Oryctolagus cuniculus: one gene and its partners. The protein of the gene in region 1 interacts with the protein of each later gene in a biochemical or structural test. Links are inferred from orthologs where the notes say so. Each region holds a gene or a part of one and is shown in the gene's direction. Other genes may lie near its edges.

Region 1 (3,458 bases):
GTTTTCTCAGGGTAACTGTTAAGCACAAAAACTCAGTGGGGGGGGGGGGCAGGCTTTGTGGCCCAGTGCATCAAGCTACCACCCGGAGTGCCCACATCCCATACACCAGTGTCACTTCTGGCTACTGTTTCTATTTTTAATATTTGTTTTATATGCAGGCTTTGTGGCCCAGTGCATCAAGCTACCACCCGGGGTGCCCACATCCCATACACCAGTGTCACTTCTGGCTACTGTTTCTATTTTTAATATTTGTTTTATATATTTGAGAGAGAGACAGAGCTCTTCCATCCACTGGTTCACTCCCCAAATGCCTGCAACCACCCAGGCTGGGCCAAAGCTGAGGTCTGGGTGGTGGACCCAGGTCTCCCATGTGTGTGGCAGAGCGCCAATGACCTGAGCCATCGCCACTGCCACCCAGGGTCCGCATTTGCAGGGAGCCGGAGCCCGGAAGTGACCCAGGCACTGCTGTCATGGAGACGAGCATCTCAACTGCTGGGCTAAAAAGCCAGCCTCTGGTCATTTTTACTTTGGTCTCCTGATTTTTATTTGTGGAAATACATGATGTGCACCAATTAAAATAACTCCTGCTTCTGTGGCTCATGCTGACTGGTCCTTGCCCACACTGGGCTTCCCACTCATGGAGACCCCTCTATAAATCCTGGGGTTCTGGTAGACAGGGTGGCTGGGGGAACTGGTGTAACGCAAATCCTGAAGAGCTTTTTGGTTGTGTAGCCACTGCCTACTAAGCATTCTATCACATGCAGACTATGTTGTACCTCAGGTTTTATGAGGTATTGAAGATTGTGTAGTACTACCAGCTAACACAAGAGGTCAGCAAACAATTAGCTATTCATGCTTCAAAATGCTAATATTTAAACAGTAACCTTGCTGAAGATGAACTCAGGAGGGTACCGAACTTTTAGCTTTTTGAAGACATTACTTTTAAAATTGACAATTCCTGACACAGGACCAATGAACATTTAAAACTATATTAACTTTCCGTTTATTAGAGAGAGATTTTCCATCTGTTGGTTTGCTTCCCAAACGTGCGAACCTGCCAGAGTGCACTCTGCCAGGCTGAGACCCCACCTGGCCTCCCGCATGGGTGGCTTGGGTGCATTCGCAGGACCAGGCACCCCAAACAGCAGTCCCACAGTGTTATTCCTAAACAGTTGCTATTGTTTGACTTTTCTTTTAGGTTACATTTCGGACAAGAATCTATCACTGTAATATTAACAGTCAAGGAGTTATTTGCTTGGACATATTGAAAGATAATTGGAGTCCAGCACTAACTATTTCTAAAGTCCTCCTTTCCATCTGCTCACTTCTTACAGACTGTAATCCTGGTAAGGTTAACAATTCTCTACCTTGTTTTATTTTTCCTCACCTGAAAAAGACAAAAATGAAATTGCTTTTCAGAGAAAGTTCTAATGGAGATGAGTTGGCAAAGGGAGCAACTTCACCATTGTCTAGTATGTTCTAGGACAAAGTATTTTAAACTGAAGAGTCTAGTCTGTCCTAACCTCACCTGGCTCACTGTGCCAGAGCTGCTTACGGAGGCAGGGCTCAATTTTGAAATGGGATTTCTTTGCTAAATACTTAGTGACTACTGAAGTGTGATTTTGTTGGGACTGCATTCCATTAAAAGTTTTCCCTGGATAAGCTAATGTAAATGTAAAGATGCTGTGTTAAGTTGCCAGAAACACACTGTTCTCAACTGCAGCCCAGGTGTTGGCTGGCAACTGGAAGTGCCACGGCCACGAAGAACTCATACAGTGCCTATCGCCACCACACACGGCCACGAAGAGCTCATACAGTGCCTATCGCCACCACACAGCCACAAAGAGTTCATACAGTGCCTATCGCCACCACACACGGCCACGAAGAGCTCACACAGTGCACATCGCCACCACACGGCTGACGTCCTTTGTAGCCTGTAGCCCTGAGCCCGCCCAACATGTTAAGAGCAAAAGCGACTTACTGGGTGGTGTTGGTTGAGAAATGGTGTTAACCAAGCAGTAAAGCCAGACCAGTACTCTGTCCCTCCTCCATGCAGTGTTTTGTAAAGTCTGGAAGGAAAAATACCCAGAACAGTAGAGTGGTGTCTGACTGTAGAGTTGAAACTGCATTTTCCTTTCTCCGGAGTAACCTACATTCTTCTTCTTGCAGCCGACCCTCTGGTGGGCAGCATCGCCACCCAGTACATGACCAACAGAGCAGAGCACGACCGGATGGCCCGACAGTGGACCAAGAGATACGCCACATAAACGGGGTTTTCACAGTGCTTACATTACTTGTCTGTCACAGAAGAGAGCTGCTTATGATTTTGAAGGGATGGGGGAGGGTGGGAGTTGGTAAAGAGTAGGGTATTTCTATAACAGATATTATTCAGTCTTATTTCCTAAGATTTTGTTGTAACTTAAGGTATCTTGCTACAGTAGACAGAATTGGTAATAGCGACTTTTAAAATTGTCATTAGTTCTGCAGTATTAGCTAAAATGTAGAAAAGAATGTACATCTTGACATTTGGGTTTGGTTGCTTGTAGTCTGTAAAACAGCTTAATTTTGTACAGGTTACATACATGGCCATTGATGTAAAGTCCCTTTATGACTACATACTTTTGTTTAAAAAAATTGGAATTTGTTTTTCTCTTCTTGCAAGAGAATATTGATATTTAACAGAGTTTTTAGAGAGACTCATCTCATATATATAAAATGGACATGTGGCTATAAGACACCATATAGGAAATGAGTAGTTGATGTATTTTATTTTATATGCCAATCTACTTTATTGTGAAAAGATTAAAAGTTTGAATCAGGACTTGTGAAACCTGTAGTGAAATACCTTAAGCTGTTACCTGTGAGGCGTGGATAGGAGTTGCTCGGTGGATTGGTTATATGTTGTGGACTACTTAAGTCCTCGTTTGTTACTGTGCTAATAAACAATATTAAAAACAACCACCTGGTGCTGCTGGGTTTATTTTGTCTTTATTGACAGATCTTTGCTCTACAACAATTAAAAATACTTAATAAATAGCACTTACCTATGTTAGAATAGATACTTTTATACAACAGTAGACTTTGAGACGTCTTAGAGAAGGTTAAATAACAGGTTTTCAGAGACGAAGTGTCCTGCATCTCTTTACAAGCATTTTCTAACCTGCAGGTGCTGTGGGAGCAAGTCCACGAGAAACGGGTTGTGTCACAAGGATAGCTAAATGGGCACCACACTGGAGGGCAGTTTGACCCCACTTGAGGCTACACCTCCCATAACCCAGCAGTTCTGCTTTTGGGTCTCCTCCAGAGAAACCCAGCCAGGGCCACACACACTGACTACAGCATTTTAAAAGAATCCACTAACACAGATCTAAGCTGCATTCTGTGGAAAAAAAGCAAACTGTAAACGATCAGTAATCACCCCAGCTAAGCAGGAGTGTGCCTCAACAGCTGAGCGATAG
Region 2 (3,937 bases), on another chromosome or scaffold:
GCCTGTGGGTACTGACCTAACCTCCCACCTGCCTGTCCACCCCTCATAGTAGTTCCTGGAAAGAAAATCCCTCAAGGCCAGACCTAGGGTCCAGATGCTATCTGCAGGGGAGATAAGTGCCCACTGCCTCAACTCAGAGCGAAGTTTAGGAAGGAAGAGCCGGGGCTGGGACTCAGGGGTCCAGCCAGCCTCAGCATCACAGGCCCGGCTCCAGCGCAGGGCCTGGAGCTCCGCGGGGCTCACACCTGCCAGGGCGGTGTGGGGATCACAGGTGAGGGCAGGCTGAGACCCGGGGGCTCAGATGCCCGCAGGAGGCATCCAGGGCTCCGCCCGCGCCCGGGGCTGGGAGGACACCTTTCTCCAGGCCGGTCCTGGGGTGCCTTCCCTGCGGGCCCTCGCCCACCCCTCCTGCCCACCCGGCCCCTGACACCCTGACTCCCCTCCCCAGGCTGCGGGACACCCAGCTCCCTGCTTCCTGCCCAACTCTCTGCTTCTTCCGCCCGGTACTCCGGCTCTTGGCCCCAAGCTCGCTTCCTCTGGACAGCCCTCCCAGACAAGCCGGTTTAGGGCCCCTCTGGGCTCGCCAGTGGGGACTGGGCCCGGTCCTCGCGGGGACGGTGACCGCCCCGCCCCGTCCAGGGCCTGGTACCAGGCGGCGCTGATCCAGGCCCGGCTTCCAGCTCGTGCCCCGGGAATATTCCTCTCCAAGGTCTCGTTAACAGGCAAGGAAACAGGCCCGGGGAGCTGGGCGCAACGTCTGGTCTGGACCAACGTCCAGCTTGACGTCGCCGGCCGGCCTCGTAAGTTAGCGCCATGGTGGCTGCTGTGCGGGGTGGCAGCGCAGGACCGGGACCGTTCGGAGCCCCCTCGGCTCCGGAGAGCGGGTCACCGGGGGTCGGCGGGCAGCTGCCGCGGGCCAAGCGCTCGGACCACCCTCAGACTACAACTCCCGACAGGCCTTGCAGGCGGCGCGGCGCGGACAAGCTCTCTCGCGGGAATGCGGGGGCTGAGGCGCGCGAGCGTGGGCGGGGCCGGAAGCGACGCGGTTCAAAGTGGTAATGGACGTCTTCCTTATCCAATAGAATTGGAAACAGGGCTCCTTCCCCGGCAGCCGCGGGCGAAGGGGAGGCGGCGGCCACTGGGGACGCGCGGGGGGCGGGGCCTGGGCCTCGGGAGCGGAAGTGGACTGCTGTGGAGGCGGCGGCGCCTGGCTCGGGGGCTTCTCCTCAGCGGCTTAGAGGTGCTTCCTCGCTCCAGGACAGTGGCGGCGGTGCCTCCCGGACCGGAGCAGCTCCGAGTAAGGCCCGCTCCTCGGGGAGGGAGCGGCGGCCGGGCCCAGCAGACGCCGCGTTCGCGCGGCCTGTCCAGGCCTCGGCGTCCGCGCCTCCGGCGGCCGCCCAGCGCGGCGCGACCCGCTGCGGGCCCCGTGGCCGGCCGGGCCTGCCGGGACTTCGGGCCGCCTCTGCCCACCCGCCCCGCCGCCTGCGCCGGCGTCCCGAGCCTCGCTGGGCGCGGGAGAGGAGGTCTAGGGGGCTCCCCCGGCGCGGCCGCACGACCGGGCTCGGAACTCCGAGAGGGAAACTGAGGCTCGGGCCGGGGCGCCCAAGGTCACGGGAGAGGCGCCCGGGCCTGCCGGCGGCGGGGAGGCAGTGAAGGCTCGTGTCCTCCTTTGTGCTGGCGCCGCCGCCCGCCGTCGGGGGCCCGCGAGCTCGCCGGAACGCCTGGCCGCGTGGCGGGCGCGCTGCTCGGCTCGGCTGGGCGCGGGGCCTGGAACCGGGGAGCCCGCGCTTCCGGGTGCAGCGTGTGGCCGCCGCCCCGGAGGCCCGTGTAGGAGCCCGCGGCGGACCCCCGGGCGCCCACCAGCGTCCACCTCGGGCGGGGAGGGCCGAGCCTGGGCGAGCCGCGCCTGCGGGATGCAGCTTTTGTCTTCCTGCGGCGCCCGCGGACGCTCGGGGTCTCGGCCTGCGCAGCCGTGCCGGGGTCCTGGGGGGTGAGGCGGGCGGCCCGCGGTCGCACGGTGGAGCCGAGTTCTAGCTGCGGGACCCGGAGTGCGGGCCGTGTGGCCGTGGGAGGCGGCGGCGTTGAAGGGGATTTTTTTGCTCTGGGTCGGTTTTGCTTGTGAGTTTGGGGTCGTTGTGTTGCTTGAACTTGACCTTCCAGTCCTGACCCGGAACCTCACTAATGACGCTTAAGAGGGTCCCGACTGCTCGCCGCCATGACGTTAGGGCCGCGTATATGGGCATACTGTGTGTCTGGTTTTTATTCTGTGAACATCTGTAGAGAAAGGGAGAGACAGATCTTCATCTGTTGGTTCACTCCCCAAATGGCCGCCGTAACCAGGGCTGGGCTGGGTGGAAGCCAGGAGCTTTATCTGAGTCTCCCAAGGCGGCCCAGGGCCCAAGCACTGGGGCCATCTGCTTCCCGGGCGCATTAGCAGGGCTTGGGATTGGAAGTGCAGCAGCTGGGATTCCAGTGGCTTCCATTTGGGAGGCTGAAACTGCTACACCAGAGTGCTGGCTCCTATGGTATGTCCTTTGTGTACTGTACATATATCTGTTCTTTTTTTTTTTTAAAGATTTATTTATTCACTTGGTAGAATTACAGAGAGAGAGGAGAGGTAGAGAGATAGAGGTCTTCCATCTGCTGGTTCACTCCCCAGATGGCTACAACGGCCGGAGCTGCACTGTTCCAAAGCCAGGAGCCAGGAGCTTCTTCCGGGTCTCCCACACGGGTGCAGGGCCCAAGCACTTGGGCCATCCTCTACTGCTTTCCCAGGCCACAGCAGAGAGCTGCATGGGGAGTAGAGCAGCCAGGACTCAAACCGGTGGCCGTATGGGATGCCTGCACTGCAGGCTGCGGCTTTACCTGCTACGCTACAGCGCTGGCCCCCATGTATCTGTTCTTAATACATAAAATAAGTAGGATTTTTCACCCTCTTTCAGAAGACACACTTTAATATTCTGAGCACAGTTTTGAAGCAAACAGTAGTGGATTACAACAGTGAACAAAATAGGAATGTGGTGCCTCTCCTGGAGCTAAGGGCTGAGAGACCCAGAAAGTCCCTGACACTGAAGTACAGACTGTGCAGGAAGTGTGGCAAGAGATGGGACAGACTGGAGACACACGCAGGATCCCGAGAGATGGGACAGACTGGAGACACACGCAGGATCCAGAGAGATGAGACAGACTGGAGACACACGCAGGATCCAGAGAGATGAGACAGACTGGAGACACACGCAGGATCCAGAGAGATGAGACAGACTGGAGGCACACGCAGGATCCAGAGAGATGAGACAGACTGGAGACACACGCAGGATCCAGAGAGATGGCACAGACTGGAGACACACGCAGGATCCAGAGAGATGGCACAGACTGGAGACACACGCAGGATCCAGAGAGATGAGACAGACTGGAGACACATGCAGGATCCAGAGAGATGAGACAGACTGGAGGCACACGCAGGATCCAGAGAGATGGCACAGACTGGAGACACACGCAGGATCCAGAGAGATGGCACAGACTGGAGGCACACGCAGGATCCAGAGAGATGAGACAGACTGGAGACACGTGCAGGATCCAGAGAGATGGGACAGACTGGAGACACACGCAGGATCCAGAGAGATGGCACAGACTGGAGGCACACGCAGGATCCAGAGAGATGAGACAGACTGGAGACACATGCAGGATCCAGAGAGATGAGACAGACTGGAGGCACACGCAGGATCCAGAGAGATGGCACAGACTGGAGACACACGCAGGATCCAGAGAGATGGCACAGACTGGAGGCACACGCAGGATCCAGAGAGATGAGACAGACTGGAGACACGTGCAGGATCCAGAGAGATGGGACAGACTGGAGACACACGCAGGATCCAGAGAGATGGCACAGACTGGAGACACACGCAGGATCCAGAGAGATGGCACAGACTGGAGGCAC
Region 3 (3,500 bases), on another chromosome or scaffold:
CATTAGAGTTAGATTGAACTGAATGTGAATTCTGATTAAAAAAAGTTGTTGATGTCCTTAGGAAGGTGATTATAATTCTCTGGGCCCTCATTTACTATTCTATTAAATCAGGATAATAATGGTGACCTGACCAGATCTAAGGTATAACACCGGGCACATTGTAAGTACCTGATGATTATTGGCATTGTAATTATTATTTTATTATAATCATTATTAAGTGGGTCATCTCATTTTAATTGAGAGCAAGTTGGCAATTATGCCATATTTAAAAGAGAAATAATAGTAAAATTACCTGGCATTGAGTTTATCATCTTTTAAAGAAGATGAAATGTACACCCAAAATAACTGAGACACATGCAAATATTTACTATTTGGAAAGTTACCAGAAGTTACTAGGGAAATACTGCAAAATTTTATTTAATGTGTCACATAACATTCCCCATGGTTTGTTCATATGTTCAAGATTAGAGTTGGGGCCCCATGTTGTGGTGCAGCAGGTTAAGCCATTGCCTACAACACCAGCATCCTATATGAGTGCTGGTTCAAGTGCCAGCTGCTCCACTTCATATGCAGCTTCCTGCTAATGCTCCTGTGAAATCAGTGGAAGGTAGCCCCAGTGCTTAATCCTGAAAGCTCTGGTCTGGCCCAACACCTGTCATTGCAGCCATATGTGGAGTAAACCAGTAGATAGAAGATCTGTTTCTCTCTCTGTCTTTCCTTTTCTCTCTGTCACTCTGCCTTTCAAATAAAATAAATTTTAAAGAAAATAAAAGAATATTAGAGAGCTGAGATTCAAAGAGTGAGGGTTAGTATGTTTATATTCAGGCTACAAAACCTACAAAATCCACAAAGGAGCATATAGATGGATTTGAACCTCTGTGCTATGTTGCTTCTACCTGGAACCTGTCAAGTGTTGTAAGACTCACATAATAAATGTCACTGGAGACCTGCTCTGGCTGAATGTGTCCCCAAGGCTCTGGTCTGTGTGTGGGAGGCTTGGTTCCCAGTTAGGAGGCAATTAGGCCATTGGAGGCATCACACTCGGAAGGGATTCATGTAGTTCTTAGTTCTTGTGGAACCTCAGTTCTCACAAGAGTGGGTTGCCATAAAATGAGGTCTCTTTTTGGGCTTGGCCTCTTTTGTGTGCAGCCATTTCCTTCCTACTTGTCCACAATGTTGTGAGACAGCCAACGGGGACCTCGGAGAGGCCAAACCGATGTAGCTGCCTAATTTTGAACATGCAGCCTCCCAAACTGTGGAGCTGAATAAACCTCTTTTCTTGAGAAGAAAAACTTCAAGTGTCTTTTTTTATATCAACAAAAAATGGATTAATATCTGCAAAATCAATTTTTTGCTGGATCTGATAGCAGAAGGTGACATGGTCAGAACTCTGGATTGATAAGTCTTCTTGTAGCATGGTGCGGGGGCTTTCAGAAGTGAAGAAGAATGGATCAAGACTCCCGTTTGGGGGCCGGGGCTGTGGCACAGTAGGTTAATCCTCCGCTGTGGCGCCGGCATCCCATATGGGCACTGGTTCTAGTCTCGGCTGCCCCTCTTCCAGTCCAGCTCTCTGCTGTGGCCTGGGAAAGCAGTAGAAGATGGCCCAAGTGCTTGGGTCCCTACACGCACATGGGAGACCAGGAAGAAGCACCTGGCTCCAGGCTTCAGATCGGTGTAGCGCCGGCCGTAGCGGCCATTTGGGGGGTGAACCAACGGAAGGAAGACCTTTCTCTCTGTCTCTCCATCTGTCTGCAACTCTAACTCTCAAATAAAATAAATAAAATCTTTTTAAAAAAAAAAGACTCCAGTTTGGATGCTACTGCAAGAATCTAGCAAAGATTTGATGAGAGGCTGACTTAGAGCGGTGCACGAAGTTGTGGAAAGGAGAGTTCTGGCTTGAGAGGCATTGAAAGGGGGTGGCCACTGAAGTGAGAAGACAGCAGGCAAAAGACTGTGTGGTCCCGGTGGGGAAGAGTGGCTGCAGAAAGAGCAGTGCTGTCAGACGCTTCAAAAGAAAAGGAGAATGATTGTGTCCATAGCCCCAGTGGAGCGTTTTGTGCAGCAGCTGCGGCACCGAGAGGGTCTTCACTGTGGTCTGTGAAGTGGCCTGGACCTTTTCCATTTCTCCTTGAGTGCTGCTGGCATACTGCCTTTTCTTTTTGTTAGGAGGGGCCCTATGGATGGCGGGCGAGTTTGTACAGGCTGTCAGAGCTGAATCTCCTATACGAACTCCTGGGAATCTTACAATTCCAATCAAGCAAGGGTTCTGCTTGACTCCCTCTCTTTCCCAGAATAGATGTCAAAGGGAGTGTGCAATTTTGGTTTGCGGGTCACTGACTAATATATGAAAGGGAAATCCTACTGGGAAACTCCATTTTTCCTCAAACTATTGCTCCAGATAGCATTAGTAGCATTATTATTTTTTTGTTTTAAGTGAAAGAAAATGTGTGCCATTCGTTGAAGGGCAGGTGAGGGTAAGTCAGTTCAGAAATGCTGTCACTGCGATTTGAGGGCTTCAAGTCAGGCTCACTGCCTTTCTTTTCTCTTCCCATTTCTGTGGTTCAGTGTTCGTCAGGTTCAACTCCAGCCACGGTTTCCCAGTGGAGGTCGATTCTGACACCAGCATCTCCCAGCTCAAGGAGGCGGTTGCTAAGCGACAGGGGGTTCCAGCTGACCAGTTGCGTGTGATCTTCGCAGGGAAGGAGCTTGGGGATGAGTCAACAGTGCAGGTGAGTCTCCCCGGGCGGATTGCTCCCAGGACACCACTAGCCCGATTGCCAATGCCGCTTCTGCTGCCAATCTGACATTCATGCCCGAGATCTAATAGAATAAATAGTGCCTGGGGATTCCTTGAACTTTACTCCACAATGCTTCATTAATTCTGACCTTCTTAATTATGCATTAAAACGGCAAGCAGTAAGGATTGGAAGCACCGCTGTAAGTGAGGGGGAGAGAGCGCACGGCCCGCGAGCTGGGCACCGTGAATAAATGTTTACTGACTACAGGAGCAGCAAGGCACAATTTCTGTGTCTGTTCAATTTCTACCTTACTTATTCCGTTTGAATCTTAATGAAGAAGGAATCGAATAAATTGTGCCCAATCAGGCTGCTCAGTCACTGCGCTGTGTGGATTCGTAACCCGAGTGTGACCCCTGGAGGACGCTTGGGGTTGCCGCCGCGTGTACTGGAGCAGGTGCCTCTCAGACCCATAGTCAGCTCCTGAGAATCGCTTGACCAGTTCCAGAGTCTGGTGGGGAAAGGAGAAGGCCTGGGCACAGCAGAAGGCTGCTTTGCATGCAGTTTTCCTAAAGTTCTGTCAAATTTTCTCTCAAACAGACCTCTGGCGACTGCAGAGTGAGCCTTGCGTGTCCTCTGCTCCCAGGGCATCCCAGCTCAGTGGTGATTTTTGAGGGAATTGGGGGTTTATGACAGTGCCGTCACCTAGTAGGACAGCCAGTAGCTTGCTGGGGAAGCAGGCCAGTAAAATCTGCATGCTAAAGG
Region 4 (3,500 bases), on another chromosome or scaffold:
TGGTTCACTTGCCCAATGGCCAAAATGGCCAGAGCTGGGCTGATCCAAAGCCAGGAGCCAGGAGCTTCTTCATGGTCTCCTATGTGGGTGCAGGGGTCCAAGCACTTGGGCCACCTTCTGCTGCTTTCCCAGGCCATAGCAGAGAGCTAGATCAGAACAGGAGCATCCGGGACATGAACAGGGACCGATATGGGCTGCTGGCACTAACCTACGGTGTCACAGCGAACAGGCTAATTTTTTTTTTTTTTAAAGATTTATTTACTTATTTGAAAAGCAGAGGTACAGAGAGGCAGAAGGAAAGAAGAAAGAGGGATGTCTTCCATCCGCTGGTTCACTCCCCAAGTGGCTGCAACGGGCCGGAGCTGGGCTGTACTGAATTCAGGAGCCTCTTCCCGGTCTCACTGAGAGTGCAGGGGCCCAAGGACCTGGACCATCTTCTTTTCCCAGGTGCACCAGCAGGGAGCTGGATTGGAAGTGGAGCAGCTGGGACCCAAACTGACGCCCATATGGGATGTAGGCACTGCAGGCAGAGACTTCACTTAGTATGCCACAACACCAGCCTCAAGCAGGCTAATTTTTAAGTTGATAATTTTGTATGGCTCATGAATAATGTTATAAATATCCAAATGGTCCTTGTCAGACAAAAGGTTCCCCACCCCTGTAAGCAAACTTCAGATTTCATTTAGTATTATCTGCAAAATATTTGAGTATGTGTTGCTAAGCAATGAAATCTTTAAAGAAACATATTTGAGAGACAGAGGCAGATACGGAGAGATCTTCTGTCCCCTGGCTCATTCCCCAGTTCCCACAACCACCATGACTGGGCTGGGCTGAAGCCAGGGGCCAGAAACTCAGTCCAGGTCTCTCCTGTAGGTGGCAGGGAGCCAAGTACTTGAACAATCATCTGCTGCCTCCTGTGATGTACCTTACCAGGAAGCTGACTCTCATGCACTATGATATAGGTTAGGAACATCAAGATCTTAATTGCTGTGCCAAACACACACCTGAGGGTTTTTTTTTTTTTTTCTTCCCCCAAAAGAAAATGTGATGATAGTTCAAATAGTTGGGTCCCTGCTGCTCATGTGGGAGACCTGGATGTACTTACTGATTCTTGGCTTCAGCCTGACCCAGCCCTGTGTAGTTATTACAGGCATTTAGGGTAGTGAACCAGCAGGTGAAAGATTTCTCTGTCTCTGTCGATCTGTGTTTAAAATAAATAAAAATAAACTAAAAAAAAATCTTATCAAAATCATTGTGTTTCACAATAATGAATTTCCTAATTTGATTGTCAGTTATTAAATATCTCTGATTTTTCAAAAATTTTATTGTTTTATAGGAAGTAGGATTCAAATAGTGTCATTTTCTATTGTTAATGTTGATGAAGAGCGCCAATAGAATTTTCTGTATTTTGCACTAGTCAGCTTCTATCCCTGTGTGTCATTTAATATGTTCCTTTGTGTCTGCACTCCTCCTTCCATATTTTTGTGACTTTGCAGTTAGATGTAGAGATTTAATCTCACTCCGTCTTTTGCTTTGTGGGATAGGGTAGGATTAACAAGAATACCTTCTAGATGGTGCTTTGTATTTCATATTGCCTCATAGTACAAAGCACATACTATCTGCTTGTCTTTCTTTGTGTGGCTATGACTGATGATGAGTAAACTATCAGAATTCCTCAACAGCCTTTCCCTTCATGATTTCAGTGGCCGTTTTTCATCATTGCCTCGGTCCTTTATTTGATTAGAGGTTGTAAAATGATGGTGTTCTATTCTGTTATTCCTTTTATATTTATTAACAAAAAAATTCCATCATCAACTATTTGATAAATCAAAGTACAGTTTTATGCAGAAAAAACAGGGTTATTTTTCAGTTCTTTTCCTTTATGACTTTTAAAGGCTTATACTTAATATGCTTAAACTGTTTTTAACATATTTACTTACTCTTATGTTAAATATGAAGTGGGTCTGTTTTGATGCCTGAACTGCAAATAATAGCAAATTCTTTTTATGGGTTAGAATCTGATGTAATCCATCATAAATCATGTATCCCAAGAAGGGGCATCATAAATGTAAAACCTCAAATACAGACTCCACTTCAGGGTTCAAAACTTACTAAATGTGTGTTAGAAGAATTGCAATTGGAGTGATTATATTCTAGTATGAATTTGGGAAAAATGCATTTTGAATTCTTTCTTTATAGCTTCTGGACTTCTTGGATCAGCATCCCTTTTCATTTACTCCTCTAATTCAGAGATCACTGGAATTTTCTGTAAGCTATGTTTTTACCGACGTTGGTGAAGGTGTTACATTTGAGCGATTCATAGTCCAATGCATGAATCTTATCAAGATGATTGTCAAAAATTATGCTTATAAGCCATCTAAAAATTTTGAAGGTAATACTTTACTGGTAGTTTAAAAATATTTTTTCTTTATTTTACTCTAAGTATAATTGCACTCTTGATAATTTTTTTGGAAACTCATTTATTGATAAGGAATGCCATTTTTAATTAGTGAATACCAGCTTCCCCCCAAAAAAACCATGCAGTACATTTAGTAAACTATTTTTTTTTGCAGCAGTTAAACTTCATAGGTTTAAGAACCACTGAAATTTATGTTATCAGCTATTTGTTTGAACAACTAAAAGCTTTCTCTTACTTTAAATAAGATTGCTTGCAACAAGTTTGTTTCTTATGTTATTTGGGGTTCATTCATATGCATGTGTAACATGATGAATGAGGAAATCTAGGGGAGAGAAGAGTAGTTGCTTCTCTATGTTGTGATAATGCAGCACAGAACTTTATAAGCTGTAACAGTAAGGCAGAAATAGCATTGATGTGTGTTCTAAATAAAGTTAAGACTGTCTAATATGTGTGTTGTAAAACTGAAAAACTATACACAAGTATATCTTTTACCCTGAGAGTCTATTTTTATTTATTTAAGTGTCATTATCTAAGTTAGTTGAATGTTGCCTTGTACAATTAACTTGGAAGTTTTATTTTTCTAGATAGCAGCCCTGAAACTCTTGAAGCCCATAAGATTAAGATGGCATTCTTCACATATCCCACTTTGACAGAGATCTGTCGAAGATTAGTCTCTCACTATTTTCTGTTAACTGAAGAAGAACTGACAATGTGGGAAGAAGACCCAGAAGGCTTTAGTAAGGATTAATTTTTTTGGCATGGCTTTTCTCCCTTTCTATAAGTAGATATTTATTTGAATGATGGGAATGATAACATTGTATTGTAGTATAATTTTTTTTTGCGTTTTTGTTATTTGAGAATCAGAGAAGAAAGTTTCCATTTGTTGGTTCACTCCCCAAGTGCCCATAATCACCAGGGTTGGGCCAGGGCCAAAGCTGATAGCCAGGAATGAACCAGTTCCCCTGTGTGAGTGAGATGAATTCATTTTTTTCAGCTAAGATCTGTGTCTCTCGGGTCTGTATTAGCAGGAAGCCGGAGTAGGGAATTGGAACCAGTAATCAAACCCAGGCATCCTGACATA
Region 5 (3,500 bases), on another chromosome or scaffold:
AAATTTGGAATGCAAATTATTTCCTGTAAGTTAAGCATTGTAACTATAAAGGCATTTAAAGAAGTTGATGTTTATAATTGCCAAATGTTTTCCAGACGGGGAGTTTTTCCTTTTTATTCCTTGCAAAAGTATTTTTCATTTCTTATTTTGTTGGGAAAACTACACAGCATGTTCAGAGTCTACAATATGGATTATCATTAACATGAAAAGTTTTGAGGGAAAATGTTTTTTAAATTGAGTCAGGTCTTTCGAAGTTGATTGTGCTTATGCTCTGAGATTTTATGTTAGTTATACATTCTTATTTGAAAGGCAGCGGGGAGACATACACAGGCAGCAATATACCAGCTGCTGGTTCACTCTCCTAACGCTGGCAACAGCTGGTGCTGGGCCATGCCAAAGCCGGGAGACTGGAACTCAGACCAGGCCTCCTCCCACGTGGGTGATGGAATCCAGTACTTGAGGCAGCACCACTGTCACGGGTGTTCATTAGCAGGAAGCTGGAATTGGAGGTCGAGCTGAAATCCTAACCCAGGCACTCCACTGTGGGATGCAGGCTTTCCAAGTGCCATCCTCACTGTGCCAAAGACCCTCTGTGCCTTTGTGTGCTCAGTCTGTGTGTGTGTGTGTGTGTGTGTGTGATGCTTTTAAAACAAAGGATCTGACCTTAAAAACCTGAATAAATAAAGCTTTGTACTAATGAATGTGGGCTAGATGCACAAAGAACTTTTAAAATGTTTTTTGGCTAATAGAAGTTATGATTACCAAGAATGCTACGCTGTTCAGTCATCATTGCGGAAATTGTCATGCTTTTCTCCTCCTTTGATGCTAGTTTTGGACAATTTCTTTGCCTCTTTTAAGCCTCCTAGTAAGCTAGGGGCCTTGGCTATCACAGCTGAGCATAAAGAAGAACGCAGAAATTCTAGGCGATTGAAAAATTAATGTTCATAATTAACTCTTGTCTCTGCTTTATTTAATTCTGTATTGAGTTTGCCACAGTTGGTACAGAAAAAGGTGCAAAAAGAGAGTTTAATTTTTTTCCTTGAGTCTTGGAAAAAGTATCCTTTTAGTAAAAGTGACTTTTTTCTCTTTATACTTTGAAAGTTGAAGAACCACCTTATGAGGTAAATTTCATGCAGCAATTTGTTGAATATGTAAATTTTATGGTACATGAAGCTGTAGTTGAAAATTTAAAATATTGTATGTTGAAATTAGTATTATCTTTTAGGACAAAGCAAAGGTAAATTCTGGCAATAAGTACAATGACAACTTTTTTGGACTATACTGCATTTGTAAGAGACCTTATCCCGACCCTGAAGATGAGGTAAGAGGATTGGAAATTAAAACCTGGACCTGTTACCTTAGCCTTGACTTCTCAGCCTCTTGGCACCCCTGGTCCTCTGCAGCATTTCAGGAGGAGTTTTGGGAATGTGGGAGGATTCCAGATGTATCTCTCAGGAATATGGGTTGGATCTATAACTGGTACAGAGCTCAACTCTCGTTTCTTTGATCATAAAAATGAAATATTGGAGTGAGTTTTCCCAGGACCAAAATGCCTCTTCTCAGCAACGTTCCTGCCTGCCTGCTCCATCCCCCAAACACTTTCTAAGAGACCTTCAGCTGTTTGCCTCTTTGGAAGGAAAGAAATGGAGTGTACAAAGTGGATCCTTTGAGCAATTTCAATTCGAAGAATATACAAAATTTAGAATGGATTACTTGGTCCTGCACCTCTTAACTCCCAGGCATAACCACTGTTAACACTTTTTGGTGTATAATTTTTTAGGTCTTTTTCTGTGCACTTAAAAGTGATTGAATGAATGTATATTTATTTCAATGTGTAGAGTTTTTTTTTTTCTTGAAGATGTATTTATTTAAAAGGCAGAGTTACAGAGAGGCAGAGAGAGTCTTCCATCCACTGGTTTACTCCCCAAATGGCTGCAGTGGCCGGAGCTGATCTGAAGCCAGGAGGCAGGAGCTTCTTCCTGTTCACCCACCTGTGTGCAAGGGTCTTTCACTGCTTTCCCAGGCCACAGCAGAGAGCTGAATCGGAAGTGGAGCAGCTGGGACTTAAACCAGTGCTCATATGGGATGCTGGCGCCACAGGTGGAGGCTTAGCCCACTACACCACAGTGCCGGTCCCATGGTTTCCTTTTGTAACCAAAGTGAAAATTCCATGTATTCACTCCTGCGATTGGCTTTTCTCAATCAATGTATCATAGACTTCCTTCCATACCAACACATATCTACTTGGTTTTATTGTTGGCAGAATATCCTGCAATTGGACATGCCGTGAGTTAACTAACCTAGCTCTTGGTCTGTAGCAAAATAGCATGGTGTGATTGATTTTTCACCTCAGTGAACACTCTTCTGCATTAATGTGCTGAACACTCCCCTGCAGGTATCAGGTAGTGTGGCTGCTGGTGGTCATAGGACATTGGCTTTTAAAATTGAGACTGTGTCTGCCGAAAGGATTCAGCCACCAACGGTATTGATTTCCCCCCAGTACTCCAGTTAACTGTGCTCATTACCAGTCCCTTAAAACTTTGCCGTTCTGATAAATGAAGAAAAATACCTTTCTTTTCCCGATCATGAGTGAGATTGTGCATCTTTTCAAGAGTTTTTTGGATGTTTGTAGTAACCTTCTCTCTGAATTGCTCTTCATATCATCAGTCTATGCTTTGATTGGATTGGGTTTGTCTATTTACTTATTGGAGGCTTTTTACATTGCGAGAAATTAACTTTATGTTTTCTTCCTTGCTTCCTAATTGTCTTGCAACTATAATTATTAAACCAAGTGGCATAGAGGGACAAATTGAAGATATCTTTTTGAGTTATCAAAAATAAAACTTTAAAACTGGATATTTTAAATGATAGGGTAAAGTTTTCCTTTTTTTTTTTTTTTTTAAGATTTATTTATTTGAAGGGCAGAATGGCAGAGAGAGGGGGATAGACAGAAAGAGACCTTTCATATGCTAGTTCACTCCTCAAGTGGCCACACCTCCAGGACTGGGCTAGGCTGAAGCCAGGAGCCAGGAGTTCCAGCTGACTTTCCCACTTGGGTGGCAGGGACCCAAGCACCTGGGCCATTTTCTGCTGCTTTCCCAGGGACATTAGCAGGAAATTGGATTGGGAGTGGAGCAGCCAGGGCTCAAACCAACATTCTGATTCAGGATACCAGTGTTGCAAGGGGTGGCTTAATCTGGTACACCTCAATGCTGGTGCTTCAAGTGTTACTTCCAAAAGTGTTGTAAAAAGACAAAATAGAAGATGTTGAATAAATTGACAAAAGCAGAGAAAACAATAAAACAGTATTTTTAAATATATGTGTGTGGTGGGCATATTTTCCTTTAAAAAATTAGGAAGAACAACAAGGCAGTGTTATATAAAATAGAAATACCCTACTTATCTCTAAGGTTTTATGAGATTCAGATATTAGGTATCTGCTTCGAAAGAGCCTTGATAACTGCTTGCGAAGTGCTGTCTCAGTGTAACCCTTTGTGACA
Region 6 (4,046 bases), on another chromosome or scaffold:
GGCGCAGCAGGCCAGCTGACAGCCTGGAGAGCAGAGGGGTCAGTGTGTGGGGCCAAGGCTTGCATCTGCCAAACCCACACCCTCCCCCCAACCTTGGAGGCCCCAGTACCCGGTGTAAATGCCCCTTATCCCTTCCGCCTTCAGGATGCTGGTAAGGGCATGGAAGCTGGTTTTGTACTCTTTGGTCTTGGCACCTTCCCCGCTCAGCTGCATCCGGTTCTTCACCAGGTCCAGGGGCTGCACAAAAACCGTAGCTCCCATCCTGGAGGAAGGTGGGAGCAGGGTCAAGGGCCACGTGTGCAAGATCTCCCGCTGCCTACTGCAGCCTAGCACAAGGGGTTACTAAGGTCAGGGCCTGCCTCGGATTAGGGATTAAGGAGGGCTGGTAGGCATGTGTCTGACAGTCTCTGTGTGTACCAACAGCAGCGGGTTCTGGAAAGTCCATTGTCCATTAGGGGTCATGCAATGAAACTACTCCAAGCAGATCCACGGGAGTCCATCGGTGGGCCCGGTGGGCCGGGACCGCATGCAGTGCGACCCAGGGAGCGGGCCAAGGGCGTATCCACGACCTGGGGCACTAAGTAGTCCCCTAGAGTCATGGAACCCTAAACAGCCCTGCGGAACCAAGCAACGGACTGGGGAGGTGCGGGGTGGGGGATCGTGCCAAGACCCTGCATGCAGTCAGGGGCAGCCCATCAGGAACCTCCCAACACGCTGGGGATCGCGCTGACCCTCAAGCAGGCTCAGTTCACTGAAACAGTCCCAGAGATGAACCGGGCCCGTCCGTCCCTTCCTCCTCCTTTCCCATCCCTGGGGCCTGAGCTTACCCGGCCAGGCCCCCAAACAGGAACTTGACGGACTTAGGGGAGGTACGGGGCTTCCCGTCCATCCCGCCGGCCCCGGGACTCGCCGTCGCCGCCATCGCCACTCAATGGCCCTGGCTCCGGGTCCCGAGAGCGCGCGGCCCCGCTCGCGCCCAAGGTGACACCGCGCGCGCAACAGGGCGAGGGCGCGCGCGCACGCCCCTCCGGCTCCCAGGTCCAGCACCAGCTGCAAGCCGGCGCCCGCGCAGGCGCAAAGCGCAAAGGCCGCCGGGAGTAAGGCGACCCTGAAGGAGGAGCTTAAAGGCTGCGTGCGGGAAGGGGCGTGGCTTGGTTGGAAACTGGCGTATAGGCACAGTCTTCACCGACTTGGAATCGCGGGAAACTAGACAAGCTGTTCGAGGTCTCGCGAGATCTAGTCAGTCCGGCTCCCAGAGTTAGGAGGGCTCTCGCGATATGTAGAGCAAGCTTTCGGCAGCCGTGGGGGCGGGGGAGTGGGCTGGTAAGCCTTCTCGCGAGACTTGCAGGTGCGGCGGCAGCGGCGGCCACAGGGAGCGGAGAGGTTTGTAAACAGGGAAGCCCCAGGTTCCCGGGCACTAAGGGGGAAATGATTCGCTCTTCTTCTGGGGGGCAGCCGTGCGCCCTCCGTTTCCACAGACAATCCCTCCATCTCTAATTTTTCTCTTAACCGGCCTTTCAGGACCGGAAGTCCTTCATCTTGAGCGGCCAATGCTGGAAGCGGCCTGACTCTTTGTCGGAAACCTTTTTCCCAGGGATAGGAAGACGGCCCACCTGGCCGGAAGTCCCACCTCCCGGGGCTCCCCCACCCTTCCAGAAGTTTTGCTGTCACCTGTGTTTCCTTCCGTCCCCTCTCCCCGTTTTGTCCCCAATCCAGAAAAGGGTCCATTTAGAGTCTCCGACCCAGCTCCGCTAAACGGGCTTGGGGCCTCGCTCCCCGGGTCGGGGTTCCTTCCCCGGCGCCCCCATGTAGCTGGGAAGTGGGACCTGGGGGTGGTTGGACCCCTGGGATCCTGAGGGAGCGGCGGGGAGGGCGCAGAGCCCCGCTTCTGCTTCTGCTCCCGGGCCGCGGCCTCCTCGGCCTCTCCCCGCCCGCTGCCATGCACCGCGCGGCCTTCCCGCTTCCTGTGGTTGTGGCCGCCGTGCTGTGGGGAGCAGCCCCCATCCGGGGCCTCATCCGAGCGGTGAGTCTGTGGGGCGGGTGGAGGAAGGGCGCCGGAGGGGGGCGTTGCGGGCCGGAGGGGAACGTGGACGTTTTGTGCCCCCAGACCTCGGAGCACAATGCCAGCATGGACTTTGCAGACCTGCCAGCTCTGTTTGGGGCCTCCCTGAGCCAGGAGGGACTCCAGGTGATTGGCGTTCTTTTTTTTTTTTTTTTCCCCTCCCCTCTTTGTCCAAATCCTCCATCCTGGGCGGGGTTGAGGAGCCATGCCCCGGGTCTGGCTGGGGATAGTTAGAGTCCGGTTAGGATCGAAGTGCGTGAACATGCGTGGAATCCAGAATCTAGGGGAAGAAGACAGTGCCCACTCTCCACTCTGGGCTTACCCGGAGACTGCAAAGGCGATGACTGGCGCTCAGCAGTAGGGTCCCCAGCCAGCTATTGGTCGCATGACCTTCGATATCATCTCTCTGAGCCTTTGATTACTGCGAAGTGGGGTGATCATGGAAGTTACTTCAGAGTTACCGTGATTACAATTAGATAAGTTAAATTAGTGACAATTGGATAAGCGGCGTTGCAGGACTTTATTGCCAGGGCTGCCACATAGCAGCTCTCGGTGGGCTGCAGATTTGGGTGTAGATGGGTAGTTGGGAAACTGACTGAAGGGAGGGCAGTGTGGACTGGAGCTGCGAATGTAAAACAATTTAGGAAAACGTGGCTGCGTAGAGAATGGAATTACAATCTGTGGGGAAGCTGAATCTGCGGGACTGCGTCAGTGTAGGTATGGCGTGCAGGCAGGCGACCTGGGACGGGAGAGGCAGCTGTTTGATGTGGCTGCACTTTCAGGAGGCTGAGGGAGGAGACAGACTCTGGTTTGGGTGGGGTGCCGAGACCCAGGAGTGAGAAGGAAGTGAGGACAGAGGCTGTGTGGTATGGGGGGGCCAGAACCTAGAGAGGAGAAACCTAACTGTCATCTGCCTCTCTCCCGCAGGGGTTCCTTGTGGAGGCTCACCCAGACAATGCCTGCAGCCCCATTGCCCCACCACCCCCAGCCCCGGTCAATGGGTCAGTCTTTATTGCACTGCTTCGAAGATTCGACTGCAACTTTGACCTCAAGGTTGCTGAACGTGGAGTGGGAGCTGGGAAGCTAAGGGTGAAAAAGAGTGGACCAGAAATGAAGCAAGGCAAGGCCCATGATGGCTCCCTACCCCTGCCTTGTTTCGCTAGGTCCTGAATGCACAGAAGGCCGGGTACGGGGCAGCCGTGGTGCACAACGTGAATTCCAACGAACTTCTGAACATGGTGTGGAACAGTGGTAAGTGGGTGGCTCTGCGAGGCGGGGTTTGTCGGAGAGCTGACAGAGCTGGTGGGAGGGCTGACGGCTCAGGCCAAAGCAGCCAGTATTTTGGGTGGGAGGGGACAGACGCGTCAGCCGGCAGGGCTCCCCGAGGGCCTGAGAAGTGGAGGGTGAGCCCCCCCAACAGCGTGCTCCTTGCAGAGGAAATCCAGCAGCAGATCTGGATCCCGTCAGTGTTCATCGGGGAGAGGAGCTCCGAGTACCTGCGCGCCCTCTTTGTCTATGAGAAGGGGTAGGACACGCGCCTCCCTCCCTCTCCTCCTGGCCCCCAGCACTCAGCTCAGGTCACTCCTGCCCCGCCCCGCCCCGTGGCCGCAGCACCAGTTACTCTGTCCTGTGTGCTTTGTCCTCCGGCCTTTCTTGCCCCTGTGACACTGTTGTCCCTTCCCTAGGGCTCGGGTGCTTCTGGTTCCAGACAACAGCTTCCCTCTGGGCTATTACCTCATCCCGTTCACCGGGATTGTGGGACTGCTGGTTTTGGCCATGGGAGCGGTGATGGTGAGTAGCTCAGGGGACATGATAGGAAGAGCTGGACTTAGGAACCCAGATTGGAACTGGAGGCAGAGTTCACACTTGTCCGGTTTTCTTCTGAGTCTGATCCGTCCACCTCCCTTCCCCCAGATAGTTCGTTGTATCCAGCACCGGAAACGGCTCCAGCGAAATCGACTCACCAAAGAGCAGCTGAGACAGA
Region 7 (3,496 bases), on another chromosome or scaffold:
AGGAAGAGTGATGGCCGCAGCAGCAGCGTCTCACTTGAACCTGGATGCTCTCCGGGAAGTGCTGGAATGCCCCATTTGTATGGAGTCCTTCACGGAAGAGCAGCTGCGACCTAAGCTCCTGCACTGTGGTCATACCATCTGCCGCCAGTGCCTGGAGAAGCTCCTGGCCAGTAGCATCAATGGTGTCCGCTGTCCCTTTTGCAGCAAGATTACCCGCATAACCAGCCTGACCCAGCTCACAGACAACCTGACTGTGCTGAAGATCATCGACACAGCTGGACTCAGTGAGGCTGTAGGGCTGCTTATGTGCCGCGCTTGTGGGCGGCGGCTGCCCCGGCAGTTCTGCCGGAGCTGTGGCTTGGTGTTGTGTGAGCCCTGCCGGGAAGCAGACCACCAACCTCCTGGCCACAGTACACTTCCTGTCAAAGAGGCAGCTGAGGAGCGGCGTCGAGACTTTGGAGAGAAGTTAACCCGTCTGAGGGAGCTCATGGAAGAGCTGCAGCGGCGGAAAGTAGCCTTAGAAGGCGTGTCCAAGGACCTTCAAGCAAGATACAAAGCAGTTCTTCAGGAGTACGGGCATGAGGAGCGCAGGGTCCAGGATGAGCTGGCCCGTTCTCGGAAGTTTTTCACAGGCTCTTTGGCTGAAGTTGAGAAGTCCAATACTCAGGTTGTTGAGGAACAGAGTTACCTGCTTAACATTGCAGAGGTCCAGGCGGTGTCTCGCTGTGACTACTTCCTGGCCAAGATCAAGCAGGCAGATGTGGCCCTCCTGGAGGAGACAGCTGATGAGGAAGAGCCAGAGCTCACTGCCAGCTTGCCCCGGGAGCTCACCCTACAAGATGTGGAGCTCCTTAAGGTAGGTCATGTCGGCCCCCTCCAAATTGGGCAGGCAGTTAAAAAGCCCCGAACAGTTAACATGGAAGATTCCTGGGCCATGGAGGCTGCAGCTTCTGCTGCCTCTACTTCTGTTACATTTAGAGAGATGGACATGAGCCCTGAGGAAGTAGCTGCCAGCCCTAGGGCCTCACCTGCTAAACACCGAGGTCCTGAGGCCACTTCCAATATCCAGCAGTGCCTATTTCTCAAGAAGATGGGGGCCAAAGGCAGCACTCCAGGCATGTTCAATCTTCCAGTCAGTCTGTATGTGACCAGTCAAGGGGAGGTGCTGGTTGCTGACCGTGGTAACTACCGCATACAAGTCTTTACTCGCAAAGGATTTTTGAAGGAGATCCGCCGCAGCCCCAGTGGCATTGATGGCTTTGTGCTAAGCTTCCTGGGGGCTGATTTGCCCAATCTCACTCCTCTCTCAGTGGCCATGAACTGCCATGGGCTGATTGGTGTGACTGACAGCTATGACAACTCCCTCAAGGTATATACCTTGGATGGCCACTGCGTGGCCTGTCATAGAAGCCAGCTGAGCAAACCATGGGGTATCACAGCCCTGCCATCTGGTCAGTTTGTGGTAACTGATGTAGAAGGGGGAAAGCTTTGGTGTTTCACTGTTGACCGAGGAGCAGGGGTGGTCAAATACAGCTGCCTCTGCAGTGCTGTGCGGCCCAAGTTTGTCACCTGTGATGCTGAAGGCACCGTCTACTTCACCCAGGGCTTAGGCCTCAATCTGGAGAATCGGCAGAATGAGCACCACCTGGAGGGTGGCTTCTCCATTGGCTCTGTGGGTCCTGATGGGCAGCTGGGTCGCCAGATCAGCCACTTCTTCTCAGAGAATGAGGACTTCCGCTGCATTGCTGGCATGTGTGTGGATGCTCGTGGTGACCTCATCGTGGCTGACAGTAGTCGCAAGGAAATCCTCCATTTTCCTAAGGGTGGGGGCTTTAGTGTCCTGATTCGAGAGGGACTCACCTGTCCTGTGGGCATTGCCCTCACTCCTAAGGGACAGCTGCTAGTCTTGGATTGTTGGGATCATTGTATCAAGATCTACAGCTATCATCTGAGAAGATATTCCACCCCCTAGGGTATAAGAAATACCAATTTCTTCTGCTTCCCAGCCAACTTCCCTTCCCTCAGACCTTGGTTGGTGGCACCATAAAGTAGACTTGGCCTAGGTCTTGTCTCCAACTGGGTAGTCCTAGAATTTTAGTATTTTAGTGTTTTTTATTTGTTAAGCCTCCTTCCCTTCCATTCCACTCCTGCCTAAATTTAAAGCTTTGATAAATGCATTGTCCCAAATAGCACACATGATGGTGTTAGCTGAAGTTTAATTAGAAATTAGGCACTTCCAAGGCTTCAGTAGAAACACCCACTCTAACTTCTTGTCTCTGTGTTTGAAATGTGCCCTTGTATTGAAACCCTGTTGATTTTTCTCCTTTTGGCTTCGATGTCCCTGGTCCATTGTTTCTTTCCTATAATAATGTGCTTTATCCGTGACACTTTGTCTTCAACTCTGGTTGCATTCAGTGTGCATGCTTCAGTGGAATCTGCTCTGCCTTTCAGTGATATTTCAGAAATCATATCCCTGTAGCATGATACTTCAGGTCAGATCACCTTTAGTGTGAAAGCTCATTCATTTAGTATCACCAAGGGATATAATACCATACCTCTTGGCTGAGGACTGTGCCATCTTGGATTGGTTTCTTATTGCAGGTGTAACAAAAAAATGGATTAACCCTAGTTGGTTACTGTTGAAACTTCAGCATGGACATTTCTTGCCTTCTAAAGGATCATATGGATTGGAAAAAAGCCAAGACATAGAAAGATGGCAATAAACAAATATAAATACTGATACAGCCAACAAACTTGTATAGTTTCTAGGGCACATCATTTTTCATCTACCTCTCTCCAGTGACCTGTGTTAAGACTGTCTGCAGAATTGTAAAGCACATTGGAGAGGTGGACACATCTCATTTTCATTACTAAAACAATAGAAATGTTTGGTGGTTATTCTGTATTTTCCTCAAGTGACTGCATACTATTTGATTTAAGTATTGATTTCTGTTCCTCTATCAAGCATTAAATCATTGATAACTGTTTCTTCAAAAGTGGTGTTCATGTCTTTTCATTAAATATGGGATATGGGAGGTGAGGAGAGGGATAACTTGAATGATGCCATTTTATTCCTTCTCTGACACTCCATTGTTTCACAGCATAAGGATCCACCCAGGTCCATATTCAATTCAAAGTACCATTATGTACAAATAATCCAGATGTCTCTCCTACATATGTACAGAATCAACCCCCAAAGTTTAGAGTCACCAAAACCTGTTCTAGATTGAGCTGCCATCATGTTTTATTCTTATAATTACAGGTCATAAAAGGAAAGTGCTTTTAAGAATACCAGAAGTGGGGACCGGCGCCGCGGCTCACTAGGCTAATCCTCCGCCTTGCGACGCCAGCACACCGGGTTCTAGTCCCGGTCGGGGCACCGGATTCTGTCCCGGTTGCCCCTCTTCCAGGCCAGCTCTCTGCTGTGGCCAGGGAGTGCAGTGGAGAATGGCCCAAGTGCTTGGGCCCTGCACCCCATGGGAGACCAGGAGAAGTA

What was found.
Region 2: the proteins of UBE2E1 (region 1) and RNF4 form a complex in vitro, tested with the Homo sapiens proteins (2 studies listed by BioGRID, with this or other methods). The link is inferred for Oryctolagus cuniculus from reciprocal best matches to the Homo sapiens genes UBE2E1 and RNF4.
Region 3: the proteins of UBE2E1 (region 1) and PRKN form a complex in vitro, tested with the Homo sapiens proteins (2 studies listed by BioGRID). The link is inferred for Oryctolagus cuniculus from reciprocal best matches to the Homo sapiens genes UBE2E1 and PRKN.
Region 4: the proteins of UBE2E1 (region 1) and IPO11 form a complex in vitro, tested with the Homo sapiens proteins (2 studies listed by BioGRID). The link is inferred for Oryctolagus cuniculus from reciprocal best matches to the Homo sapiens genes UBE2E1 and IPO11.
Region 5: the proteins of UBE2E1 (region 1) and UBR7 form a complex in vitro, tested with the Homo sapiens proteins (2 studies listed by BioGRID). The link is inferred for Oryctolagus cuniculus from reciprocal best matches to the Homo sapiens genes UBE2E1 and UBR7.
Region 6: the proteins of UBE2E1 (region 1) and RNF167 form a complex in vitro, tested with the Homo sapiens proteins (3 studies listed by BioGRID). The link is inferred for Oryctolagus cuniculus from reciprocal best matches to the Homo sapiens genes UBE2E1 and RNF167.
Region 7: the proteins of UBE2E1 (region 1) and TRIM32 form a complex in vitro, tested with the Homo sapiens proteins (2 studies listed by BioGRID). The link is inferred for Oryctolagus cuniculus from reciprocal best matches to the Homo sapiens genes UBE2E1 and TRIM32.

What each region holds. Positions count from the first base shown.
Region 1 is NC_091435.1:159,786,927-159,790,384, forward strand, and holds the end of UBE2E1 (ubiquitin-conjugating enzyme E2 E1), read left to right. Parts: intron 1-1,198; coding exon 1,199-1,346; intron 1,347-2,169; coding exon 2,170-2,267; 3' UTR 2,268-2,958; downstream 2,959-3,458. UniProt on the Homo sapiens protein: Accepts ubiquitin from the E1 complex and catalyzes its covalent attachment to other proteins. Catalyzes the covalent attachment of ISG15 to other proteins. Mediates the selective degradation of short-lived and abnormal proteins.
Region 2 is NC_091433.1:1,254,021-1,257,957, forward strand, and holds the start of RNF4 (E3 ubiquitin-protein ligase RNF4), read left to right. Parts: upstream 1-1,137; 5' UTR 1,138-1,297; intron 1,298-3,937. UniProt on the Homo sapiens protein: E3 ubiquitin-protein ligase which binds polysumoylated chains covalently attached to proteins and mediates 'Lys-6'-, 'Lys-11'-, 'Lys-48'- and 'Lys-63'-linked polyubiquitination of those substrates and their subsequent targeting to the proteasome for degradation.
Region 3 is NC_091436.1:6,277,527-6,281,026, forward strand, and holds part of PRKN (E3 ubiquitin-protein ligase parkin), read left to right. Parts: intron 1-2,565; coding exon 2,566-2,729; intron 2,730-3,500. UniProt on the Homo sapiens protein: Functions within a multiprotein E3 ubiquitin ligase complex, catalyzing the covalent attachment of ubiquitin moieties onto substrate proteins. Substrates include SYT11 and VDAC1.
Region 4 is NC_091445.1:83,312,004-83,315,503, forward strand, and holds part of IPO11 (importin-11), read left to right. Parts: intron 1-2,199; coding exon 2,200-2,392; intron 2,393-3,003; coding exon 3,004-3,156; intron 3,157-3,500. UniProt on the Homo sapiens protein: Functions in nuclear protein import as nuclear transport receptor. Serves as receptor for nuclear localization signals (NLS) in cargo substrates.
Region 5 is NC_091451.1:38,190,981-38,194,480, forward strand, and holds part of UBR7 (putative E3 ubiquitin-protein ligase UBR7), read left to right. Parts: coding exon 1-25; intron 26-1,225; coding exon 1,226-1,321; intron 1,322-3,500. UniProt on the Homo sapiens protein: E3 ubiquitin-protein ligase which is a component of the N-end rule pathway. Recognizes and binds to proteins bearing specific N-terminal residues that are destabilizing according to the N-end rule, leading to their ubiquitination and subsequent degradation.
Region 6 is NC_091448.1:51,300,652-51,304,697, reverse strand, and holds the start of RNF167 (E3 ubiquitin-protein ligase RNF167), read left to right. Parts: upstream 1-1,246; 5' UTR 1,247-1,383; intron 1,384-1,521; 5' UTR 1,522-1,939; coding exon 1,940-2,023; intron 2,024-2,107; coding exon 2,108-2,188; intron 2,189-2,989; coding exon 2,990-3,115; intron 3,116-3,225; coding exon 3,226-3,313; intron 3,314-3,496; coding exon 3,497-3,587; intron 3,588-3,747; coding exon 3,748-3,853; intron 3,854-3,976; coding exon 3,977-4,046. Other genes in the region: SLC25A11 (mitochondrial 2-oxoglutarate/malate carrier protein), read right to left, coding at 1-23, 110-262, 828-922.
Region 7 is NC_091432.1:220,212,418-220,215,913, forward strand, and holds the end of TRIM32 (E3 ubiquitin-protein ligase TRIM32), read left to right. Parts: 5' UTR 1-10; coding exon 11-1,972; 3' UTR 1,973-2,996; downstream 2,997-3,496. UniProt on the Homo sapiens protein: E3 ubiquitin ligase that plays a role in various biological processes including neural stem cell differentiation, innate immunity, inflammatory resonse and autophagy.